2 linked regions of the Lonchura striata genome follow. The protein of the gene in region 1 purifies or fractionates together with the protein of each later gene. This does not show direct contact. Links are inferred from orthologs where the notes say so. Each region holds a gene or a part of one and is shown in the gene's direction. Other genes may lie near its edges.

Region 1 (12,311 bases):
CTCTGTACCTCCTTTCCAATTTTGTCAGGCTCCACAGCCAACAGTCACCAAGCCTCCTAATAAAAGGTATCTGATCATCATTTTTTTTAGAAACTGCCATCTATCCCCAGTGCTGTAAGTTAACTTTATGCCAAACCCTTCTTTTCCCCCACCTAACTTAAGAATGAGAAGAGGATTGCCTTTTAAGAAGATGGAGAATTCTCTGAGTAAATTACTGTTTGAACACCAGGGTTTCTCCAACCTAATTCTCCCTGTCACCAGTATTCCTGGCTCAGTGAAGAATTTTTAAAAGGGGAATTTTCAGGCTATACAGAAGCGAATCTGTTCTGAATTAGCAGGCTCTAAAATGCACAGCTCCCTGGGACTGGGAAATCCAGAAATGAAGGACTTGGATTTTCTTAAGTAAACTTTGATTTGGGGCAGAGGAATAGGTGAAAAGGAAGAACAGTGTGACATAGCACAAAAATCACATGGGATTTGTGTCCCATGTCTTTGGACTCCAGATCACTGATGTAAGTTATAGCCTTATAATTGCTTTAAACCACCTTGTAACTAGAGCATCAAAAATTATCATCAGGGCCAGAGGATAACAGAGTTTGATGCTCTGTCATTTGTAATGACATTTCTACTCCAAAGAAAGAACACTAAGAAAAGCTTATTCTAACTTAACGGGTTTTTTGTGTGCATGTAAAAATGATATTATAATCTCAGTATACTTTGGAAAGTATTTGTCTTTTTTATTTGACTTTGCAAATTATGATGTCAGCAGATGACATGAAATCTGGTTACAACTTGAGGACTCAATTTAGGAAGTAAAAGTGGAAAAAGTAAAAAATTAAAAATTATAGATTTCTGCAGTTTTAAGACACTGCAAAAGCTATTAAAATGAAAGCTTCATTCTATACCACTAATCTTCATTAAAGAACAAGTTTACCTTTCATTTAGATAAATTTACAAAACTGCATTTCTTTTCTAGCCAGTTATTTTAAAATAGACATGCTAATTATTCCAAATTGTCTGAGTGAAACAACACATAAGATTTTGGCAAAATATTCCACTATAATCCACAGTAAGAAGAGAGTAGGTTATTTAATACATATGTAACTGTGGGCTCTTACAAGAGACTATTGAAATAGCCGGCATTTTATAATTCCAGGGCAGACTAACAAAGTAATAGTAATATATGATATAACATCATGTTGGTTTCAAATTTTCTGAAGTAGTTAAAACAAGAAAATTTTCTTTTTTATAGGCTACAGGTAACTGGAAATACAGAAGCAGTTTGATCTCCTGTTTATCTAAAGCTTTGTCCTCTGAAAATGTGAAGTCTCTCAGAAAGTTAAACTAAGCAGGAATTCTATCTATTGTTTTGGGGCATCTGGAACTAGTGGGGAATACAGTGTTTTCCCAACATTTTGTATTTCCATTGCACCCTGAAGCTATACAGTACACTGCCAAGAGAAAACTAATTCAGCAGTATAAATTAAAAATAGGATTCTTGTGACACAAACTGCATAAACATGGTTTACTTGTGTAATTATTTTGCAGCAGTGAAAATATGGTTTATTTGTGTAATTATTTTGCAGCAGTTATATGTCTTTGTTATGAAATCTTCACAAAATGTGTGACATTTCTGATAATGGCCAGTATGCAGAGGCAAGCAGAAAGAAAATTATTAAAAATGTTATTGAAGAATGAACCAGTATTTTTTTAAGGGAAAGTGATGCCAATAATTTCTTTGCAATATCCTATTGCCCTTGGTTTATTATTTCTTTAAGTAGATATTTTCAAATATGACTTCAGCAGTGTAAGTGTCAGAACATATAGTTTTAAAAGAGTAATTTAAAAAAATTTCATAGATTTCTGTTGTCACTATTATAAGTACAGCAGAAAACAAGTACTTAAACTATGCTTTAAATGGGACTCTGAAGAAAGTATTGACTTTTTCCTTAATATTTAAATGGGTGCTGGTGTCTTCAATAAAAATCTTATCACCCTCAAAGCACCAAGTGTAACAACTACTAAGATTTTCAGATTCAGACCTCTAGCCTTCAGAAAGTATTAGGACAGAATAATTGGCTTTTGGGAATCCAGTATGAGTGGCTGGTGGTAACCTACCCATAGATAAGGCCCAGTAGTTACAGCAGTTGATTACCACAATTGAACTGCTAAGTTTCTAGTTAAAATTGTTTATTAGAAAGAGCAGCAGTCAAAAGGCATTGAAAAGGGTCTAAGAGCCAGACTATTTAAGGAGATAAGGTGTCCAAGACAATAAATCAGTATAAGGTAGAACAGAATTAAAGTTCTCTAAACATGTTCCTTACTCTATAAAATAGACTTAAAGTGAGGCACAAAGATAGTAAGTTAGTGAAGAAAAGATGAAGTCTTAACACATGCATTTTAAAGCAGGTAACTGGATGATCTAGAAATCTACTCAGTTAATCAGCCCTCAGCCTTGTACAGAAGGTCTGAGTAGCAGCACACCCTTCTCACATGGAGTCCTGCTCTCAGCTGTGCCCAAGAATCTGCCCAAGATGGAATTATTGTTAAACTAAGGGTCTTAGGGGGTCTTCAAAATAACTTCTTCAAAAACAAATAAAACATGGTCCTACCAGCTGTTCGAAGTAGGATCCATTTATCCTTTACAATAGCTATTAACACCTCTGAAATTTATCTACCCACTAAATTGCTCTGGCTTGACAGATCACTTGGGCCTAATTTCCATTTATTTCTCCCACAAAATGACAAGGCAGCTTCTGAGTACTTTGGCAGTTTGTCATACGGATACACGAGTTCTCTATCCTAATAAAGCCTGAATAAGAAAATGCCCATACAATCACAGAATGGTTTGGGTAGTAAGGGACCCTAAAGATCTCTCTCTGAAATGGGCAAGGACATCTTCCACTGGAACTGGTTGCTCAAAGACTTATCCAACATGATCTTGAACACTTCCAGAGATGGGGCATCCCAACAACTTCCCTGGGCAACCTGTGCCAGTGTCTCACCACACTCAGAGTAAAGAATTCCTTTCTAATACCTAAAATAAACCTACCCTCTTCAGTCTAAAGCCACCACTCCTTGTGCTATTAGTGCATGCCCTTGTCAAAAGCCCCACTTCAACCTTCTTACAGACCCCTTTTAGGCACTGAAAGGTGTTTCCAAAGCCTTCTCTTCTCCAGGCTGCACTGCCCCAACTTCCAGCTTAACTTCAAAGGAGAGGTGCTCCAGCCCTCTGACCATCTTTGTGGCCTTCTTCTGCACTTGTTCCAACAGGTCTACATCCTTCTTATGTTGTGGGTTCCAGAGCTGGATGCAGTCCTCCAGGCAAGGACATGAGAGCAGAGTAAAGACAGAGAATCAACCCGTGGGGTCTCCACGCAGGATGCAGCCCAGGACAAGTTTGGTTTTCTGGGATGAAGTGCACCTTGCCAGGTCATGTCAGATTTCTCATCCACCAACACTCTCAAGTCCTTCTCAGCAGGGCTGTTTGCAATCCAGTCTCTCCCTAGACTGTATCTGTGCCTGGCATCTCCCTGATCCATATGCAGAACCTTGCACTTGGCCTTGCTGGCCTCCCTCAGGAATGCACAGGCCCACCTCCCAAGCCTGTCAAGGTCCCTCTAGCTGGTGAACTTTCCCTCCAGTGTGTCATTGGCAAACTTGCTGAAGGTGCCCTCAATCCCTTGTTGCCAACAAAGACGTCAGACAGTGCCAGTCCCAACACTGACCCGTGACGAACAACACTCTTCACACTGTGATCATTCATAATAAAGAACTTCAAAACATACTGGATCAGATAAACTTCTGATAAGAAGTTTGGTAAAATTACTCCACCTCCCAGGTATTAGAGAAAAACAACAAATACATGAGGAAGAGTGGGTGTTCTTTGTACAAGCACCACTTATTATCAGGACATAATGAATTTTGTCTGTAATACATAGATGGTAACATGATGACAACAGTAAATCAGTGATGGGAAGAGTTAATTTTGGGGGCATTCTTCACTGTGTCTGTTCATGCCTGTCTGTCATGAGCCTGGACATCAAAACCAGGGGCAGAAACTCCTTTATTGTGTAGGGAAGAAATACCTTCTAGTATGGAAAAATAGGGAGAGTGTTCCAAGTTTTTAAATCATAGGAAACAACATAAACAACATATGAAGTGGTTTAATTATTCTAACTTCTACTGAAGCCATCAAAGTTGAATATGTACAAAAACAGTCCCTATGGAATAGAAGTCATTTCATCAAAAGATAATGAATGGAATCCCTATGGGACACCCTGGCTTTCCAGCTCTTCTTGGCTGCTGCAAGAGTTAAGCTCTCTCTCTACCTCAAAGGGCCACAAAATTCCTGAGAGTTTAGCAAACAATTAATGAAAAGAGACCTGCAGGTAACTGGACAAGTTCACACATCAGAAAGCAATCATTACATTGTATGTTACTAGCAGGTGGTTAACCATAATGTTTATTACTTGTCAGTCATTACAGACGTACTTTGATTTCTTTGTAGGTGACCAATGTCTTTGTTAATAGCTATTAAAAGTTTTTGATAACAACACAATATCCATCACAATTTTGTTTCATAACAGACTAAACCACAAATTTGTTGACCTTGTTAGATTAGCCATGTGAAATTCTTATATTTAATACTCATTCTGATTAATCTTGATTTACTGCCTTAGAAACTTTCTATTTGAATTATGCTGGTAAATGGCACCAAGACAATGTTTACTTGTACATTTAAAAGGCCTAGGTGTTTGATTCTACAATTAGTCTCTAAACTTGCAATTTATTGGGGAAGATGCTTATCTTCCCTTTTCCCTTCTCTTCCACATTCACTATTTGTTTGTTTATGTCTTGGTTACAAGGGCACTTCCACAAACCTGACTTAGTGGTATTATTCATGACAGCAGCTTGTGTGGCATGAGTTTCCAGAATGACCATCTTAGATGGGAAAAACTCCTCCTTCATTGAGTCAACTCACAGTGAACAAATTCCTTTGCTTACACCAGAAAGACAGTGGAGAAATTAGAAAAATAGTAAAATGTAAAGTAGCTAGGCTTGAAACAGGTGGACCGAATGACAGATGTGCCTCTGTATTATTCAAAAGATTTATTTCTTTCCATGAGATGCTTCAAAACAGCAGTCTTCCAACCTTCTAAACTATATGTTGACCACAGTGAACCTTAAAAACATACTGTGGACTATTATGTGTCCATGCTACTATTATTTTTTTAAGTGTAATAGTTCTATGTTTCAGCATCTCATGGCTATGAGAACTCCATTTACAAACTCCAGCTTGGATGGAGTGTTTTCTCTCCACATGGTATTTTTCTGGAAAGGCTTTGTCTTTGCTTTGATGCAAACTAAAATGAGTGGGTTTATACATCTAGAAAAATACAACTGGATGAGGGCAAAACATCACAAAAATATTATAGTGAACACCTAAGAAAATTACTACAATAAAATGCAAGATAAAGCTTGTTTTCTCAACACAAATGATGGGTTCTCTGGTATATAGGATACTAGGAACTAGCTCCAAGAGTTTTCATCCTTTAAGGAAATAGACAAACACTAATTTTTTTCATTCACTAACCATTCTACTGCATTTTTAGGATTTGCTATTCTTTGTCTCCCACAGCAACATTGAGAACATCCTTATCTGCAATACAGGTAACAAGATATGCAAGGGCTAGGCTTATTCTTGTGCACACGGTTGATTTTACAGAGATAACACCTTGGGACTGTAATCTGTCAGCAGGATCAGCAGAACCACTTGTGTCCATACAATTCAGTCTCATGCAGATTCTGAGACTTTTTTTAGCCCCACTTTTGCTCAAAACTATTAACAATGTTGTAGACTCTTGCAATTATAGAAAAAATATTAATATAAAACAGAAGAAGGGGGGAGGGGGGAAGGAGAGCCTTCCTGACAAGCGATCTGTTTTTTTTTTTTTTTCTTTTCTTTTAATTTTAAATAAAGCTGTCTGCGAATTTGAGCCTAGGGAGACCTTCATTAAAATCAATTAATCAGTCAGCCTCTCTGCTGAATAGCTTTCTGGAGACAAAATAGGATTTGGGAGCGATGTGTGTGCGACTCCTGTTTAACTTTTCTCCCCAGGGCCGCAGTCTCACACCCCAGCTCCGGGGGAAGGGAGACCGTAGCCCACCCGGTGCCGGGGGCACCGCGGTACTTCCAGCAGGTGCCCGGGGCCTGCGGCTCGACGCCGAGCAGGTGAAGGTTGTGTTCGGCGGCCTCGGCCCCCCTTGGGGAAGGAACGACCGCCCATCAGTTTAGCGACCTCGGCGAGGGCTGGTTGCTCCCCGCCCCGGCAGGGTGGAGGTGACGGCCGCGTTAGGAGCCAACTCCCGGCGGTGGGTGAGCCCTCCGGGGCGGGCGCCACCTTCCCGGCCCCAGCAACGACCCCGGAGCATCTCCTCTCGCCCCGCCGGCCGCAGGAGCAGACCCCAGCCCCGCCGCTGCCTCCGAGAGGCTGAGAGGGAAAGTTCTCCCCGCTCCCCCCGGCCCCGCGCGGAGCCGGACGAGGCGGCGCGGTGTCCCCCGGCGGCGGAGGGCGGCGCGGGTGCCCTGCTCCTCCCGCCGCCGGCGGCCGCCGCCGGGGCAGCACAGCTGTTACAGAGCCGCGCTGGTCCCTCCTCCCAGCTGCGGCTGCCTCATCTCCCCCCACCCAGCCCGTCCCTCCCCTCCGCCGCTCCCGACGCTGCTGCTGCCGCCGCCGCCGCCACCTCCTCCTCCCCACCCCCACCCTCTCTCTCGCTCCCCATCTCTCTCTCCGTCCCGTTCCCCCCCTGCCCCCGCCTCTCCCCGCCCTGCCGCCGCCGGCCCTGGCAGAGCAGGCACCGCAGGGGGATCTCGATGTAACACCATGACAGGCATCGCCGCCGCCTCCTTCTTCTCTAACGCCTGCAGGTTCGGGGGCTGCGGGCTCCACTTCCCAACCCTGGCAGAGCTCATCGAGCACATCGAGGACAACCACATCGGTGAGTGCCCGCGGGGCCGCGGCTGGGGCAGGGCGGGCGGGGTGCGCGGGGGCCGCGTGTGCGGCGGCGGCGCGGGGCGGGGTGGGGGGCACAAGGTGCAGCGGGAGCCGGGGCGCGGCGGCCGCCGGGGGAGGAGGGTCGGCGGGCGTGGAGTGGCAGGAGCGGGTCCTGCGGGCGACGTGGAGCGCTCTTCGGGGAGGTGGCGGCGTGCGGCGCGGCGGCATGGGTGGGTGCGGGGGAGGCGTGCAGCCCGCCGGCCCTGGCGAGGGGGAGTTAGTTTGCATTGGCAGGAGGGAGCGCAGGAGCCCGGAGGAGGAGGCGGTGGAGGAGGAGGGAGGAGGACGGGCACAGCACGCCGCCTGCTGCTTCCGCCCCGGCTCTGGCTGTCAGGGCTCCGGGGAGGGAGGGAGCCGCCGCCGCGGCAGCCATTCCGCTTCCTCCTCCTCCTCCTCCCGCCGCCGACACTGCGTCCTGTCAGCGCCGTTGCTAGGTGTGGCGGGGAGCGCGGGTCGCGCTCCGGCCGCCGCAGCGCGGGAGGAGCCTCTCGGTGGAGAGGCACCGGCGTGCAGGAGCCCGGGGTCGGCGGCGCGGTGGGCGTGGAGGGAGCGCCCGGCGGCGGGGCCGGCGCAGCCCCCGGGGCCGGGCGGGCGGGCGGGAGGAGAAGGCGGCCGCGCCGGGTAGGACCCGCCGCCCTGAACCGCAGAGCCCAGGCCCGGCCGCGCCGGAGCAGCACCTGCGGGCTCCCGCCGCAGCCGCCGCCCCGTGCTCCGCTCCGCCGCCCGTCCCGCCAGGGCCGCGGGGGCGGGGACGCGGCGGGGCGATGACTCGTCAGTGCCTTCCCGGCGCGGGCGCCTCATGGGCGGCGGGCGGGAGCGTGCGCAGGGGCGCCGGGGCCGCCCCTCGGCGGCGCGGGCGGCGCCCAAGGGAGGAGGGGGCGGCGCGGCTCCCGGCCGGCCGCGGGCGCCAACTTTCCCTCAGCCCTCTCCGGCGGGACCGGCCTGCCCGCCCCGGCCGGGCCTCGGGCGTGCTGGAGCGCAAGGTCTGCCGGCAGCAGCATCTCGTCCGCAGCCGGGCGCGGCACCGCCGCCTCCCCGCCTCGGCAGGTGTGCTGCTTTGGCTGCTGCGCTGCTTGCTTCCCGTCTGCATCTTCCCGACTTTCTCTTTTTGTTAGTAAAATACAGCGCTTAAACTATCAAAAAACGAGGTACTTCTTTGACTCAGACTTAAGTTTTAAAAAATACAGAAGTTTCAAGTACCTAGGGGACTGAGTGTTTAGCTAGAAGTATGAAGAAATAGTGCTGCTACAAAACGTTGAAGGTAGCATGCATTTCAGTTTATTGAAGTTTTAATAAGCCTGCCTGAATACCTGAAAAATCACTGAAGCTCAAATTGCGAATGTAACGTTACGTTAATGTAGCGTTAAAGGTCAGCAAGATGAAAGGTGTGGTTCTCATAATTACCACGATACCTAGTATGAGGTAACAAAACCACATACCACAAAACTGTATAATTTATGACTCGACATTGTGCAGGTATACCATTGTGCTATTGTCGGGTTTTTTTTAATCTCGTATCCTTAGCTTTTCTTAGACCGTGCCATCACATTACACCAGAAAAGCTTACAGGAAATAGTTCCCCAAAATGAAAGTTCATAAGTCATTTTATGCGCCTCTTGAGTGGATTATCAGCCCTTAGGTGCCACAGCCCACAGTGTGTCAGACAAGATACAGCCCTGCGCATGTGGTCTGTGCATTGCTGTTTGAGTCCCGATCAGCAGTTCTGAGACTTCTTCACACAGAAGGGAACTTTATGTTGAAATACTGTAATTTAAAAATAATTAATTTTGTATTTAATGCTATAGCCAGCATTCATTAATTTTACCTTATCTCAAAGAGAGCTATGGATTGTGCATGCACATGTTTAATAGAGTGTGTCTTTTGCCAAGGCTTCCAGGACATAGACCTGAGGCTCTGCAAATGGAAGCTCTGCAAACAGAAGCTGCCGATTTGAGTACAAACTGCTGGGGTATGACAAAGTTGTTCATGCTTTATTTGTAATGTTTCACCTCTACATGACAGCAGGTTGAACTTCACCTGCTTGTGAATAGAGGATGTGGCAATGTTATATTACCTGTATGAGAGACTGAGAAAGTCAGTAGGGAGTTGAACCAGTGACACTGAAGTTCCCATGTGAAGCTTCAACTCTGGGGTTTGGTGTGTTCAAGGAACTCCTATCACAGCCTAAAGGATGATAATCTATGAAAACTCGCCAAGTTAAGTGCTCAGCCAAAAGGTGATTAACCTTTCTGAAAGCAACTGGGAAATAAAGGACTGAATGTCTGAAGAGGAGTTTATGTTGGAATTACTTTTTCAGGAAGATAATGCAAACAGTGTCCAGCTTTTGCCGTCATACAGGCCTACAAATGTGCACTGAAATGTGTTGCTATAAAAATTGACTGTATTTTTTGGTATATGGAGCAAAGAGTAACATGCCACATAAAAATAGATTGCTTTGGACATTCAGCATGTGCTACAGGAATAAAGAAAACTTGATTGAGTTATATTGCATTATTAGTTTAAACTGAAGTGGGTGATGGCTGGGCAGACGGTGTTTCAGCGCAGGTAACAAACTTGATGCTGCAAACAGCTGTGTGTGGGGAGGTGTATACGGCACAGGCTCTAGGTGGGCTGGCTGCTGCAGTGCTGCTGCTCTGCCATGTCTCACGGGATGGGTTAATCGTTCACATCGTCAGTGGAGCACTCATAGGACTGTGGTTGTTTCTCAGAGCTGTACTGTGTATCTGAAAAGTGGAAACAAACATTTAATCAAGGGAGGTTTTTGTTTTGGTTTTTTTTTTGGTCAGCCTTTGGCAAAAAACTCAGCTTAGCATAAGGAAATAGGAAAAGAGATAGTGGGAAGAAAATGATGCACCAGAATTTTCACCTGAACCTGAGGAAGTACTTCTTTATCATGTGGGAACCTACTCACTGGAACAAGTTGCCTGGAGTGATTGTGGAGTGTCCCTCACTGGAGATACTCAGGAAACATCTGGATGCAATCCTGTGCCATGTGCTCTAGGATGACCCTGCTTAAGATGACCCACTGTAGTCCCTTCCAGTCTTACCAGTCCTGTCATTCTGTGAAACACTGCTGTGGTATTCTGGAGGCATTTCTGAGCAACCCTGCAGCTGATTTTTTTGCTTATAAAACTAATGAATAATCATTTTAAATGAAATCATTTACTGTACAGTGGTGGTGGAAGTTAGTGGTTACTTGAAAAAGTATCAGTGCATATCATCTGGGAGAGTTACGGCCATTGGATGAAGTATTCAACTCTGAGGTGGTGCTGTGTGTGCATCAACACATAACTGCTTTTTGGGTTTTGCATTTTAGATCAAAAACTTGTGAAGAATTCGGCTCACTCAGAAACACTGCTCTGGGGTCTTTCATAAGGCAGATCAGGCCCTGCTGGTGTCCTCTGCAATGAGACTGTATTCTGCAGTCTGTAGCAATACTACTAAACAGTGTGTTCACATTTTCTGTGGCTCACAGCTGGAAATGGATGTTGATTTAAAACTGCTGATTTGTAAATGCTTCTCTGTCAGCTTTTTCTACAAGCACGTTGTCCAAGCAACCTGAAGTGCTGTTACCTTCTCTGCAAGTGTGCTGAGCAGGGGGGCTTTTGGCCTGCCTTGCTAGGCTGTCTCCCTGCCTCTCAGTTTTGTCTGCTCTGACCCCTTGCAGGTAGTTTGGTTAACTTTTCTGACATCCCTTGCCCATGAGAAAAAGGCCAAATATACTACAATTAGACAGGTTCAGACTGTCAAATGGAATGGACTCAACTCCCCTCAGTAATATCAAGAGAGGAGCAAAAAGACCCCCAAACCCACCAATTCTGAACTGCCAAATACTCAGCTGTGACAGCATGGCAAACTTCATTGTATTTCTGCAGTCCCGTAGTGTCTTCAGCTATGATGTTGGGACCAGCACAGCTGCTTCCACAGAGTGTGTCTGAAAATATACTTTACTCTTCTGGGGCATTTTGAGCTGTTCGTAGAATTTCCTCCAATTTGTTTCTCCCTCAGTCTATCTGCAGTTAAACTGCACTCTTTAGAGTGGAGTCAGGTAGCTCCTTAGTTGCTAAAATGAAGTTTACTCTGATGCTGAAGGACCAATATTTAGACTGAATCTCTTCATCAGAATTTGACAACATTTATTTATTTTAATTTTTGCATGGTATTTGTAGTAAAATACTTTAAAATCAGATGAGGTTGCTGTTTGTATGAGGCATTATGTGGCCACTTGGCTCATGGTAAATGCTGACACAGTGTATGTGCCTGTGTACATCTTTGGTTGATAGGAGCAATCATGCTTCTCCTGAGGCTCATCAAGCATTGAGGAAATAGATGTAAATGAATGAGTATCCAAACATGTGATGGTGGGCTAGAAGAGGTGAAAGAGTGGATAGAAAGAGATACAAAACATAAATCTGATGACACTCTTACCTATAAAAGTTTGATAATTGTATTTCACTGAAACTACTAGAATTTGAAGGGAGGAAAAAATTACCATCTACTTTTGCAGTAATTGCACAAAAAAAGGTGATCAGCTGTTTCTGAACATTCATTATAGCTTTGCAAGAAGTCCCAGTGCTGGACAGCTTTCAGAGGAGTATTTTTATAGTGTTGCTGTTGGAACTGGGAGCTTTTCATCAAGCTTGACTAATTCCCAAGTACTAGGATGGGTCCTGCAACAGAACAGGACCTGCTGTGAGAGCAGAGGCAGCTGCTTTTGTAAGTGGTAAGATTAGAAAGAAAAATAAAACTTCCTCCATAAAAGAATAATTGCAGAAGACAGAACAAAACCTTCCATATAAAATACTACCCATCTGGAAAGTTCAGGTCATATGGAGGGAGAAAGAGTCTTAGGAATTTCCATGTCTGGTGGTAGCTTTGACATCTGCTGCCTTTAGTGAGTTAAGTTCTTAATATTATGCAGTCAAAGGGCCAGATTCCCCAGCAAAGAGCTCAAGTAGCTGGATAAGCCATTGGCTGAGTGAATGTAGCTTTCTTAAAGTTGTTACTTTCAATATTTTCTCAGGCATGCTAATAAGTGTGGTGTTCTCACCTTGATAGTTACAGGTGTTGAATGATACTCTGGCTGTGAGCACATGCTAAAATATCATTTGGTGTTGCTAAAATATGGTGGGCTTTGCTTTCTGCTGCTGTGTCGCCCAGACTTGGATGAAGTGCAGTCTGACCGAGGTGGCATCTTCTATATTGGAGCTGACTGCATGTTGTGTAAAACAA
Region 2 (12,846 bases), on another chromosome or scaffold:
TTCTAGTTTGCATGCTAAATTTACCCATTTCTTAGTTTTCTCATCAACAAATGATTGTATTTCCCATTCTAATGTTACTGCTTACACATAATAAGAGTCACAAAATTTGTAATAAAAATCCAGCACCCCAAGACACACAGAAAAAGAAATAAGTATTTATAGGAGGTTTTGTTGCTTTAAATCATACTTCACCAGATTCATCTTTCCTATTCTAAGAAAGCACTATCTTCAAGATTTTACAATAAACTACTGGTCAAGATTGTACTGAAAGCAAGAGTCCCAGTACTCAGCTCCCTGCTTGAATCACAGAACTATTGTTCCTCATTAGAGCTGGGATGGAAAATACAGTCTTCTTCATGTTTTATGTTCTTGAAGTATTTATTTTTCTTAAAAAAAAAAAATTATATGTACCATTTTTCTTTCCCCTACTTTTTAGGTGGATTGAAGCCATGGAAGAAGCATCCATATTATAGCAGCTTTCACTCAATGAACTTGGAATAAATTCTCAGATTTCTATACATTTCCAGCAACCCTCTTCTGATTTAGAAAACTGAACAGTGTATTTCAGGTCCACTGGCCACACACACTGGATCTGAACTGTTTCCAGCTTGCTCTTTTTCTTCCTCCTTCTTACATACTCATTGTTGCAAATGAAAATTTCAAGATAAGAAATTATTTATAGTGACCTTTATGTCTGTGCAAGTTCAGCCTGCACTATAAGCTTCTCTTCTGATCCCACAGTAACCTAAGTCTAACGTCAAGAACAGAAAATACATGGAAATATTGACTATAGTAAGTAACAGACTCAGTTTTACTTATTCCAGACTACTATCATATTTCATTGGGTTGATTTTGATGTCTATTGTGACATGAGAAACAATGCAGTAAACAACAAATGATCATTTAAAGCACTTTATCATTTTTTATTGAACTACAGCTTCATTTTCTTCATGTTTCTAAGGAGTTCTCTGGCCTGATTACTCATCCATTAACAGGTGCCAGCATGAAATTATGCCCCGCGTATGCTAAATTGTTTCCACAGAAAATGAAGTAAAAACACCTTCGATTTACCTGGTTTACCAACACTTCACTGACCATGATCCAACATAGTTACTTACTAACAATTATAATTTTACACAAATCACCGTATAATTTATGTTAAAGGTTTAGTTTTGTATCACTGCAGTACTTTGAAATGCACTCAAGTAGCTCTACAGATCCAGATGCTGAATTATCTCTCTAAATACTTCAGACTCAAACTCAAAGGTTATTTTTAATTTATTATAAAACTACAGTTTTTATTTAACACATCTACCTAGCAGTGTTAAGACTTTTATTATCTATTTAAATACTGTATCTTTAATACCAAAATTCCTGTTATTTCTGTGGTTCTTGTTATGAAAAATGTCATCAAAAGTTTAATCCACATAACCAGTACAGCATTTGAAATATGGTGGGTGGACTGAAATGCACTTTTCTAAACCTGCTCTGCTGGAGTCACTTGGAACTCCTGTGGCCACACCTGTCCTATGTCAGACTGCTGTGGTGCTTTACATCAGCTGAGGATATAGATCTCTAGAGTTTGGGGGGTGTTTTGTTGGGTTTTTTTTGTTGTTGTTGTGTGGGTTGTTTTTGTTTTAATTTTTTTGGGGGGTGTGGGGTTTGTTTTGTTTTTCTTGTTTGTTTGGTTTGGTTTTCTTGTTTTGGTTATTGTTGTTGCAGTGGGGTATTTTAATGTTTTGGGTGGGAGTTTTTATAAAGATGACTGAGAGGTGATGTTCTAATCATTGCAACACAGTGGTTTTGTCCTCAGTCATAATATTTAACTGAGGAACAGAATGACATCTATGATTAAAATATATCTTTGTATAAAAATAACACGCTCAAGAATTTACTTGCATTAAATTATATTGGTGGGAATTTTTATTACATTTATTTTTCACTTTCTTCAAGGAACTTAATGGAGATCTGAATTTCTGACCCTAACAAATTTTTTAGAATTGTCCATATTTTAAAGGTCTACAATATATATCCAAATGGTAAGGTAGATCAGTTTATCACCTGAATAAACAAGTTTAGAGAAACATCTACCACTAAATACAAAGGTCATTTTGGGGGTTTTTTTTTTGATACACCTGAGTCTGACCATTCCATTAAGCATATATTATCATGTGCAAACAGAAACCAAGAATGAGAAAAATAAAACTTCTGTATTCTTTAGTTAATGGATGAACAGCAAGCTTAACTTTGTTTCATGTAAGAGACATAGCCTTGCTACCAATACACTGTAAATCTCCCCTTGAAAACATTTTGCACTGACAAGAAAAATAAGACAACATCGAATACAGAGTAAGATCTCTAACTACGGTCTGAAACAAAACAAAACTGCACTACAGAATGACAATATTATGAAGATTCAGGTGCTGACATGTAGTGACTGTTGTATGAAGCTTTCAGTTAGAAGCAGGAAATGAACATGAAAATATTTTGTTGTAAAAAATAAGATACAGTGCTATTAAACATTGGTTTAAGTAATGTAGAGAAATAAAAGAGCAAAACATAACTGCAGTTCTACAGGCTTTTCCTTTACACCATTACTACCTTTGACTCCAACCCTGCAGTTCCAGTTACTGTTAGAGACACTTGCCTGTTAAGCAGTTCTCTGACAAATAAGGAAAAGCATCAGAAGATGGTACTGGAGGCCTTCTGGTAGAAACAGGATTTAGACCTAATTGGTATGATGATGTGCTTCAATCACACTGATTTATCTTCTAGAAACCCTATCTGTTTTACTTCATCTTGACTTCAGTTACAGATACAAATGGTCTCAATGCAGCATAAAGAGAAAAAAAAATTAAAGAAAATGTCCTCACAATTTCAATCCTGCTGTTAACTGAATCTGAGCAAAGCTAAGCACCACAGACAGAAATATTTATTTCAGAGTTAACCCAGTAATCACCTTTTAGAAAATGCTAACATATTAAAATAGAGGTACATATTCAGCTGACATTTACTTACACAGCTTTTTCATACTAATTTCTAGCTAGTATTACTCCTTCAAAACAAAAATTTTGTTCCATGTCTTCACAAATATGATAAAAAAATTTAGTAGCAAGTCACAAGGTTCAAGCTGCTCAGCCAACACCTGGGATCAAGCTTCTCCCATATGTTGTTTCAGAGTTTTTCTGTTTAATTGATTTATTAAAAAGCATTAAGTTTATTAGTTATTATTTGCAAATAATATTTAGACCTGTGTTATGGTATACGCCTAGTTAAAATCTGGTTTTTAAACAGTTATTAATTTTTTCTTCTAAATCAAAGTACAAGTCATTTGGAGATGGACTATACCACTCACACAAGCACTGCTCGTCAAGACCTTGGACTGCTACCCTTTCTGAGCTAGTTCTCTGCTGCTTTTACCACACAGCTATGAATACCAATGAGGCTTTCCTATTTGCATGCTGCTTTGATATAAAAGCAGTAAAAACTATGTTGGCTGTAACAACAGTACATGAATATCCGTGCTTGTGAAGGTGAAAGAAAGAGACAATATTCAGTGAGGAGAAAATGTATTCCTTTAAATACTGAGAGAAAAAACACTAGTCTAACTCCACAAATAACTTAGGAATAAAACTGCGTATTAAAAGCTGTGATTCTTCAGCCTAGGTAACACTGTAACATCACTTTTCATCACATTTTGACAAGAAAGTTTCCAGACTCCAGGGAATTGTGGTATGAGGTGAAAGGTAAAACTTGATGATCATGAAGGTCTTTCCCAACCTTAATAATTTTATGTAGTGATATTTTTCTGCAGTCAAGAAAACCTACAGCAGACAGCAAACTCACTTTTACTAATAAAGAGACAAACATGGAGAAATGAGGGAAAACCTCCCACTTGATGGAGGGCACCAGCTTTCCTCTGCACTGCCCAGCCATGTACAAACCCAAATGAAAGGCATGAGGATTCATACTTTAAAAATCATCTGCTAACACTTAAAAGAGAGATTTAAATTGAATGTGGCATTAACAATACCAAACAGTTCTATTAAAACCTTGTCAGTCACTTGTAATGGTTGATTTCTTCCATACTAAGTATTGGCTCGGCTCTGACAATTTACCTTGGAAGTTCCAGAAAATATTCTGGAAAGCAACTGAAAATAGAACTTAAAAGAACCCCAAACAACTGAGCTCTACAGTACTATTTATCCCAAATATTCAAAACGCATGAATAACCTCAAACCATATTTGTATTTTATATTATTTGGCATGCCCCAAGTTTTGATCCCTCTTAGTCCATTATGTAATTTTACTGCCACCACCATAGCCAGAGAGAGAGCTTTGGCCTCTTGCAGCCCACACATTCATTGTAGAGGTCCTCTCCTTCCATGCCTAGAGCCTCGTTCCCTCCCTGCAAGTAACGCACATCTTACCTTTATTCCATAGGGAATTTAGTCTGTTCTCCTGGGCAGGGAATAATTTCCACAGGGTCTCTTTCCTTCTCTTTTTGTGTGGCAGCTTTGCAGCATATTTTTTTCTTCTAAGGCAACTATCCTACTTAATGGGAGGAGCTACAACGTACTTAGCAGCAGGTGCGTTTGAAATTGACCAGCACTTAAATCCTTTCTCAGCTAAGGCTGGGAGCAGTTCATTCTTTCCAGGCAGGAACTGCGGCCTGAGGAGAGGCCCCCTCGGGCCAACACGTGCTCCGTGGGGAGAGTAGCCCGCTGTCCCGTGGGGAGAGCAGCCCGCTGTCCCGTGAGGGGGGCAGACCGTGCTCCGTGGGGAGAGCAGCCCGCTGTCCCGTGAGGGGGGCAGCTCGCTGTCCCGTGAGGGGGGCAGACCGTGCTCCGTGGGGAGAGCAGCCCGCTGTCCCGTGAGGGGGGCAGACCGTGCTCCGTGGGGAGAGGAGCCCGCTGTCCCGTGAGGGGGGCAGACCGTGCTCCGTGGGGAGAGCAGCCCGCTGTCCCGTGAGGGGGGCAGCTCGCTGTCCCGTGAGGGGGGCAGACCGTGCTCCGTGGGGAGAGCAGCCCGCTGTCCCGTGAGGGGGACAGACCGTGCTCCGTGGGGAGAGCAGCCCGCTGTCCCGTGAGGGGGGCAGCTCGCTGTCCCGTGAAGGGGGCAGACCGTGCTCCGTGGGGAGAGCAGCCCGCTGTCCCGTGAGGGGGGCAGACCGTGCTCCGTGGGGAGAGCAGCCCGCTGTCCCGTGAGGGGGGCAGACCGTGCTCCGTGGGGAGAGCAGCCCGCTGTCCCGTGAGGGGGGCAGACCGTGCTCCGTGGGGAGAGCAGCCCGCTGTACCGTGAGGGGGGCAGACCGTGCTCCGTGGGGAGAGCAGCCCGCTGTCCCGTGAGGGGGGCAGACCGTGCTCCGTGGGGAGAGCAGCCCGCTGTCCCGTGAGGGGGGCAGACCGTGCTCCGTGGGGAGAGCAGCCCGCTGTACCGTGAGGGGGGCAGCTCGCTGTCCCGTGAGGGGAGCAGACCGTGCTCCGTGGGGAGAGCAGCCCGCTGTCCCGTGAGGGGGGCAGACCGTGCTCCGTGGGGAGAGCAGCCCGCTGTCCCGTGAGGGGGGCAGACCGTGCTCCGTGGGGAGAGCAGCCCGCTGTCCCGTGAGGGGGGCAGACCGTGCTCCGTGGGGAGAGCAGCCCGCTGTACCGTGAGGGGGGCAGACCGTGCTCCGTGGGGAGAGCAGCCCGCTGTACCGTGAGGGGGGCAGACCGTGCTCCGTGGGGAGAGCAGCCCGCTGTACCGTGAGGGGGGCAGCTCGCTGTCCCGTGAGGGGAGCAGACCGTGCTCCGTGGGGAGAGCAGCCCGCTGTCCCGTGAGGGGGGCAGACCGTGCTCCGTGGGGAGAGCAGCCCGCTGTCCCGTGAGGGGGGCAGACCGTGCTCCGTGGGGAGAGCAGCCCGCTGTCCCGTGAGGGGGGCAGACCGTGCTCCGTGGGGAGAGCAGCCCGCTGTACCGTGAGGGGGGCAGACCGTGCTCCGTGGGGAGAGCAGCCCGCTGTACCGTGAGGGGGGCAGCTCGCTGTCCCGTGAGGGGGGCAGACCGTGCTCCGTGGGGAGAGCAGCCCTGAGGAGGGCAGCTCTCGGTGCAGCTCGCCCTCCCGGCAGGACCTGCGGGATGAGGACAGCAGCCCTCCATGAGGAGCAGAAGGGCAAGCAGGAGCTGATGTGTGCCGGCTGGAATCCCCCACCCCCTGAGGGCTGGATGGGAGAGGGGTGAAATTACACTTGGCAGAAAGCGGTGGCTACAGAAGGTGGTATTTTCGTTTTTGATTTTCTCACCATCCACATCCATTTTAACCGGCAGTTAGACATATTTCCCCCAAGTCTGCTTTGCCCACGACAGTAATTGTTGATTGCTCAGTCTTTATCTTGACCTATGAGCTTTTTCATGTCATTTTTCTCCCCATCCTGCTAGAGAAGAGATGGGGAAAGTGAGTGACTGGGTTATCATGTGGCTGCAATCCAGTCAGCTCACCACAGTGCGGTAGATAAATATAACTATTTTCTTTGCTGCCAGTCTAGTTATTAACCTTGACTTGTAATCTCAGTTCTCTTTGATGTTTTTAATCTCTGGCATAGTCTATTAATTTCTCTTCAGTCATAGCTAAAGCAAAAAAGCAGTTTTTACTAACACTCCTTTATATAGCTGTGGATATAAATTTAGCAAATTTCACCATTATCTAATACAATCTTGCTTATTTAATAAGTCAAGAGCATACATGGTAGTTCTAAACTTCATTGAAATTGTTGCAAAAACCACAGTGAAATTTGTCACAATGTTAATGCAGCTTTCTTCAGCGGTGGAGCTGTACAGCAAATATGATTGCTCTCCACCAGAGCTCAGAGTAAAACTGCTGCAAAACTACCTCCTGGTTGCAGAAACAAGGAAGATGGAGGAAACAAACCCTCCTGCCTTCTAAACCTTTCCTCAACTTGCCCATCAGGAAATACTGGGGGGGGGGGGGATGGGGAAGCAGCCATTCATATTTAGCTTTAGCATTTTCCATGTATTCAATCACACTTTTATAGTATATTTTATGAAGTTAAAAGAAAAAAATCTGCTTCTAAAGGTATGCACAAATCCATTTTTTGAGAATTTGAAAATTCTTCATCTATTTTACCCTACAGTAGTGAACACCCACAATGAAGACATTTTTGAAGCATTTTCCTTTATTTGTGTATTGCAAACACATCTGCACATCACATGCTTTAATAATTCTTGTTCTGTGAAAGTAAGACTGTAATTCATAGGTCTAGTACATTAATCATACCCTTACCTCAAAGAGCCATTTCTAAGAAAAAACTACAATCTTCCAAAAAAAAAAAAATCATTATATTGACTTTGTAACTATTAAGTCAACAACCCCTCGTTTCTGTGATTGTTGCATTCAACTGGTAGGTCTTCCGTTTTGTTTCAGGCGTTATCTTATTAATCGAACTGCTTCTTAAATTAGCTTCTGTAAAAATTGTAAGACTCAAGGGAAACCTACTAGAAGCATTAAAAACATTTTGATGAGAGTAGGTTAAGAAGTAGCTAGTTATGACAAGGGGTGAACATCTGTTAGCCTGTGAGAAGACAAGCACTGAAACGTGGTAAATTCCTACACCACCTCAGCTACACCCGAACCTGTTTCGTGCCTATCATTGTGTATTTGAAGGCACAACATACCTCACAGCAAGCTTTGCCGTAAGAGCCCTAATCAATGAATTTACAAAATTAAATAAAAACTCGACAGTCTGGCGGTGGCGTTTGTGAGAGCTTGCTCTACTGTGAGCCCACCTTTGATTGTATCGTCAGCGAGAACCAAGGTACACCTGTAACATCAATACCATCAGCGCACTGGACAGCCACCGCCAACCCGCTACCTCGGGCTGCCAGCTCCTGAGGAGCCTCCCGAGCGAGAGGAACAAAGGCGGTGAACGTACCTTCCCCTCGCTGCGCCGGAGGCCAGGGTCCTCCCGGCACGTCCCCGGCACGGCCGGAGCGGTGCAGGGCTCGGAAGGCCCAGGTAGCCCGGTAGCCCCTCCCCGTCGCCGGCCCCGCCCCGCGGGGGATGGAGGGGCCGCGGCCGGGCTGGCGCTGGAAGAGGAAGCGGGACCGCGCTACCGGGCGGCGGCGGTGGGGTCACGAACTCTGACCTGTCACAGGGCACGGCACACATAACAAAACACCCCCGACCCCAACACAGCCCCGGCCCCCTCCCCTCCGCGGGCCCCACAGCCCCTTGCAGCCCCCGCGGGGGGAGGGAGGGCCGCTGCTGGGCACCGGCCTGCCCGGGCCCGGTCGGGTCACCGCCACTGCACCTTTGGCGCCCATTCCTGAGGTAAAAAACATTTTTTAAAATTGAAGCGGCCTGGTGGGTTTGTTTCGTGGGGGCCAGGACGAGGGAGGGGGCGCGGGGAGGCGGCAGCGGGCCCTACTCTGGACACCCCCGCGAGGGGAGGGGTGGGGTGACGGTGGGTTTAGGGGAGGGGGATTGCACGGCTCCGGTATTTGTCTGGTAAGCGAGCACCAGCCGTGGTCTGGCCTGGTCTACAGCTCCTGGAAAGAGGAAACGACCACTGTGGCGTGCTGGGTCGATCGGCGAGGCAGTCTGGTGCCGGAGCCGCTGTTTGCAGCGTGGGCCGGCTGAGGTCGGGGCTGGTCCGGTCGCGGTGAGCAAAGTCTGCTGTCCAAGGGGTGTAGGGCGATGGTCGCGGTGATGACGAGCGCGGGACACACAGAGGCAGAAGATGGAGTCTGAGCGGGCGGAGGCGGCGGCTTGAACCCGACCCTTTTACCTTTGCCACCGGGAGGGCGGAGGGGAGGGGGCGGCGGGTACTTTGCATACGGGGCTGAAACCGCCGCCATCTTACCGGCCGCTTCCACACTGCCATGCCTGGGTCTCCTCTAGGCGGATACAAAGCTGTACCGGAGGGGAAGGGAAGGGGCCTAATGGCGGCGGCAGCAGCCCCGCCTGGGCTCTGGCGGACGGCCAGCACCGCCATCTTGTGCTCAGTGAATCCCCGGGGGGCTCTCCCTCTGCTCGAGGGGCGGTACCGCCGCTGTTACAAGCGGGTGGCTCGGCCAATGGGCGATCTGCGGGGGAGCGCTGCGCCTGTCCTGAGGTCATTGGTCGGGCCAGGGGCGTGGCTCGACGACGCGCCGCGGGGAGCTGTCGAAGGCTCTTCAGCGGCGGATGGGGCGTGGCGCAGCCAATGAGGGTGCGGCGCGCGTGGCTCAGCCAATGGGGGCGCGGCAGGCCCGGCGCGGCCTGGCCGGGGTCGGAGCGATGCCGGCGCCGCTCGCGGTGCTCCTGCTCGGCCGGCGGTGTCGGGTTGTGGGCCGGCGGCCGGCGGTGTCCGGGTGTGGGCCGGCTTCCTGCTGCCTGGACAATATACGGGAGACTGCCGACAGGGCTGTACCCGCTTCTCGCCCGTCCTGCCGATGGCAGCCTGCTAGAGGCCGCTTGGTGTAGCCGAGTCGGACTCAGCGTAAAGAACCTCGTTTCATTAAGACAAAGGAACAAATTTCACTAAGTTTGAATGCGGCCTTTTGCCGTGTCTTGTCAGTAGAGCCATACCCTTAGAACCTCTCAAGTAGAATTTATGACTTGCTTCTGAGGTTGCGCTGCAGCTTAGGGAAACACTAGTGATTCTACGCTGTGTTTTGGACAATGTATACTAAGCTGGCTGCCACCCTATTATGCTGAAAATAATTTCCTGGTGCTCAAGGTGCTTCTTCCTAGTTTTTAAAATTTCACCTCTTGTGTTGGTTTGGGGGCTTTTGTTGTGGCTGCCTTACAAACTGTTGCTCGGGGCTTTGGCTAGGAAGCTGATTTTGCCTTCTGAGAGCTGACACCATTAAGAAGCTTGTGGCTGTGTATAGTCTCTGTGCTCAAAGCGGGATTTGATCAGATAGCTTCAGCTTAAGGTTCTTCTATGAAGGTTGAAAGTACAAAAAGCCTTGGTGGTAACACCAACAATAGCATATCTGTCAGACTCACTCTATTGCAAACACTTGTGTTTTGTGTCTCAGAAAGGTACTGTTATGAACAAAGTATCTCATCTGAAGGGCTTCTGTCATAAAGCGCTAAGCAAACAGTATATTATGAGCATATAATTATGCTTCTTGTGCTTCTTGCTGAATATTAAAAAAAAAAAAGAGGAAACACTGAAAAGGAACCATTGAACAACTAAGAAACCATCCATAAGCTGAGTTTGGTGGAAATGGTTCATAGTCTTAATCAAGTGCAATACTTCAATAAAATAATGACAAGCTCTAGGAGAACCTAGTGTAAATACAAATTCCATGGGGATGTCTCAAGTTTGATTATGCATTATTACAAATAATCTTTACTTGACATATACAAAATTATTTTCACATTTGTCGCAATATAAGTGAATCCATTTAATGTAACAAATTCTGACATATTTAACAATGTTAACTTTGTAGAAGTTACATTTGAATGAGTGGTAGAGACATGCATACATTTTTCTGTTATCTGTGTTGCTATTGTTTGTTTTATTTTTAAAATTTATATTAAATGACTGCTTTGCAATTTTAAGGAGGTTTCCAATGAAACATCAAATGAGCCTGCCTTCAGGAATGCCTTTTGATTACCTACACTTGGATTAGAATCTGAAATCTAGCCCTGTAATTAGCAAGTCACAATTAAAAACTGAATGCATTAATTGAAAATCTTAATTAAATTTAACTTTGAAGAAATATACCCCTAATAATGATAATTAAAAATACATTGAAAGTGGTTTATAATTGTTTCTTTGTCTTTGATTTCTTTGTAATTTTTTTAACCCCTGAAGTTGAAGGTGGAATTACTTGGAATAGGATAAAATTATTGCAGTATTTTCTTCTCATTGTGACAATAGTATCACATTATAATAAAGAAATAGTTTAAATAATGGAAGATACATTTTAGATGTAACTGTTTATTTCCCTTATTGTGTAAGATTACTCTTAAGAATATGGATGAACGTGGTGATTTGATGGAACGACTCAATGAAATTCTACGCCAAACAGCATTCTTAGCTTGCTGCTCCCTGGTTCAGCATGTGGCAAGGCATCTCCTGCCTGAGCTGAAGAAAGTGACTTTGAGATCTATGAATTGCACAAACTGCATTAGTACTTGACTTTGAAATTAGTCCTTTCTCATTTATGAAATTCACATCTCTTTTTTACAGCTTAAATAACAGAGTGGAAAGAGTATATTAGAGGCTTAATAAAGTAAAAGAACAACTGTACCTCAGCAGTTTGAACAGCATGGTTCCAATATGCATGTCCCATATATGTATATGTGTGTGTGTGTATGTATATGTGCACACACACACATCAATGGCATCTTCTCTTATTTGCCAGATATTTCAAGCAGAATTGTAAATTTTCAAAAAGTCGTAGCAGAGCTTTCTTTAATACTAAGAAAGATCCCAAACTTTTGTGCCTGATGGAAGTTGCTGGCATCTTTCCAAACAGGTTCTCTAATGGTCTTGTTTCACCATGGCAACCAATATGGAGGTGCTGGCTCAGCAGGTAGTGGAGACTCAGCAGGTGGCTGAGGTGAGTGACAGATGATATCACAAGAGTTGGTATATGAGATTTTGAAATTAAAAACTTATTAGGGAGTTCCGCTGTTTGCAATTAAGCATAAATGGAACAGAAGATCTTTAAAGAAAAGTGCTGCTTTACACTTGGGGACAAGCATGAAACCAGTGCAACTGGGACACATTTTGTTCACCCTACTTTGTTCTGGTGGCCCCCATATGAAGAATATGAAGAATGCAAGTAGAAAGTTCAACATGAGCTATAGAGAAACTTGGCTGTATTATGAATTGTTTAAAAACTTAATACAGCAAAATTTCTTGTCATTTAATCCTTAGATTGACCATTTGGGACATGGAAAGCTTCTGCATCTAATTGGAATTGTAATCTAGATCCACCACAGTATTTGAAGTTACCTGTTTTACTTATGCACTATAGTGAATTTACAGCAAGCTGGTTACCTTAAATCAGTTTTTATATTTTCTGCCTACGCTTAAAGAAAAAAAGCACAAAACCTACTTAAAGGGATATTAAGTGATGGCTTGATGCATATCCATTGAAGCTTGGATGCTCAACAGCTAAAACGTTTAAATCAACTCATAAACACAAACTGCAAGTGTTCATGGCCATAGAAAATAATTTATCTCCCTCGCTATGCAAATTTCAGTCAAAAAATAAACTAGATCTTTTGTCTGATTAAAATTACTTTGTTTAGTATCCTTGAAGTTTACTGTGATTTTTCGTATGGTTACGTAATTAAGGGATTTAATAAATAATAAAGGGCAAGTGGGCTGAGAGACCTCTGTAGAAGAGGCCACTTTTCAGTCATTAGTTTGGAGTTTTCTTTCACCTATTGAGCTAAGATTACAACTGTATATTAAAAATATTTTTAGTTCAAAAAGTCATCCTATATAAGTAGAAAACATAAGTTTAATTCTATTTTTAGAAGTGGATTTGAGATTCCCTAGTTAGAAGTACATTTTTGAAAAAGAAATTTCATTCTTTTTAGCATGGAAAATGGCCTAGTCAGTGTCCTGGAATTAACATCTATGGAATAGTTTCACAAAACTTCCTAAGTTTCACAGTGAAAACCAACAAGAGATCTTTTACACTAGTTTTCTGTACCAGGTATAAATTTGGTAAGATGCATTTTTAAAAAACACTTCCAAATATATTTGGAAAGAGAAACTTGTAATGGAAATACCGACAAACTTTATTTTGGTAGAGGTTGGGTGCTGTAATAACATCTCAAGCACATAAAATATATGACATTTGTAATTCCTCGTGCAGGAAATGCACCGTGGTAACA

Evidence for each region.
Region 2: the proteins of JAZF1 (region 1) and NR2C2 purify together in Homo sapiens (affinity purification with mass spectrometry; 4 studies listed by BioGRID and IntAct, with this or other methods). This does not show direct contact. The link is inferred for Lonchura striata from reciprocal best matches to the Homo sapiens genes JAZF1 and NR2C2.

The regions. Positions count from the first base shown.
Region 1 is NC_134603.1:122,869,110-122,881,420, forward strand, and holds the start of JAZF1 (juxtaposed with another zinc finger protein 1), read left to right. Parts: upstream 1-6,781; 5' UTR 6,782-6,887; coding exon 6,888-7,002; intron 7,003-12,311. UniProt on the Homo sapiens protein: Acts as a transcriptional corepressor of orphan nuclear receptor NR2C2. Inhibits expression of the gluconeogenesis enzyme PCK2 through inhibition of NR2C2 activity.
Region 2 is NC_134614.1:24,152,611-24,165,456, reverse strand, and holds the start of NR2C2 (nuclear receptor subfamily 2 group C member 2), read left to right. Parts: upstream 1-8,043; 5' UTR 8,044-8,325; intron 8,326-8,459; exon of another isoform or gene 8,460-8,741; intron 8,742-8,857; exon of another isoform or gene 8,858-9,125; intron 9,126-11,471; exon of another isoform or gene 11,472-11,555; intron 11,556-12,827; exon of another isoform or gene 12,828-12,846. Other genes in the region: FGD5 (FYVE, RhoGEF and PH domain-containing protein 5), read left to right, coding at 437-473. UniProt on the Homo sapiens protein: Orphan nuclear receptor that can act as a repressor or activator of transcription.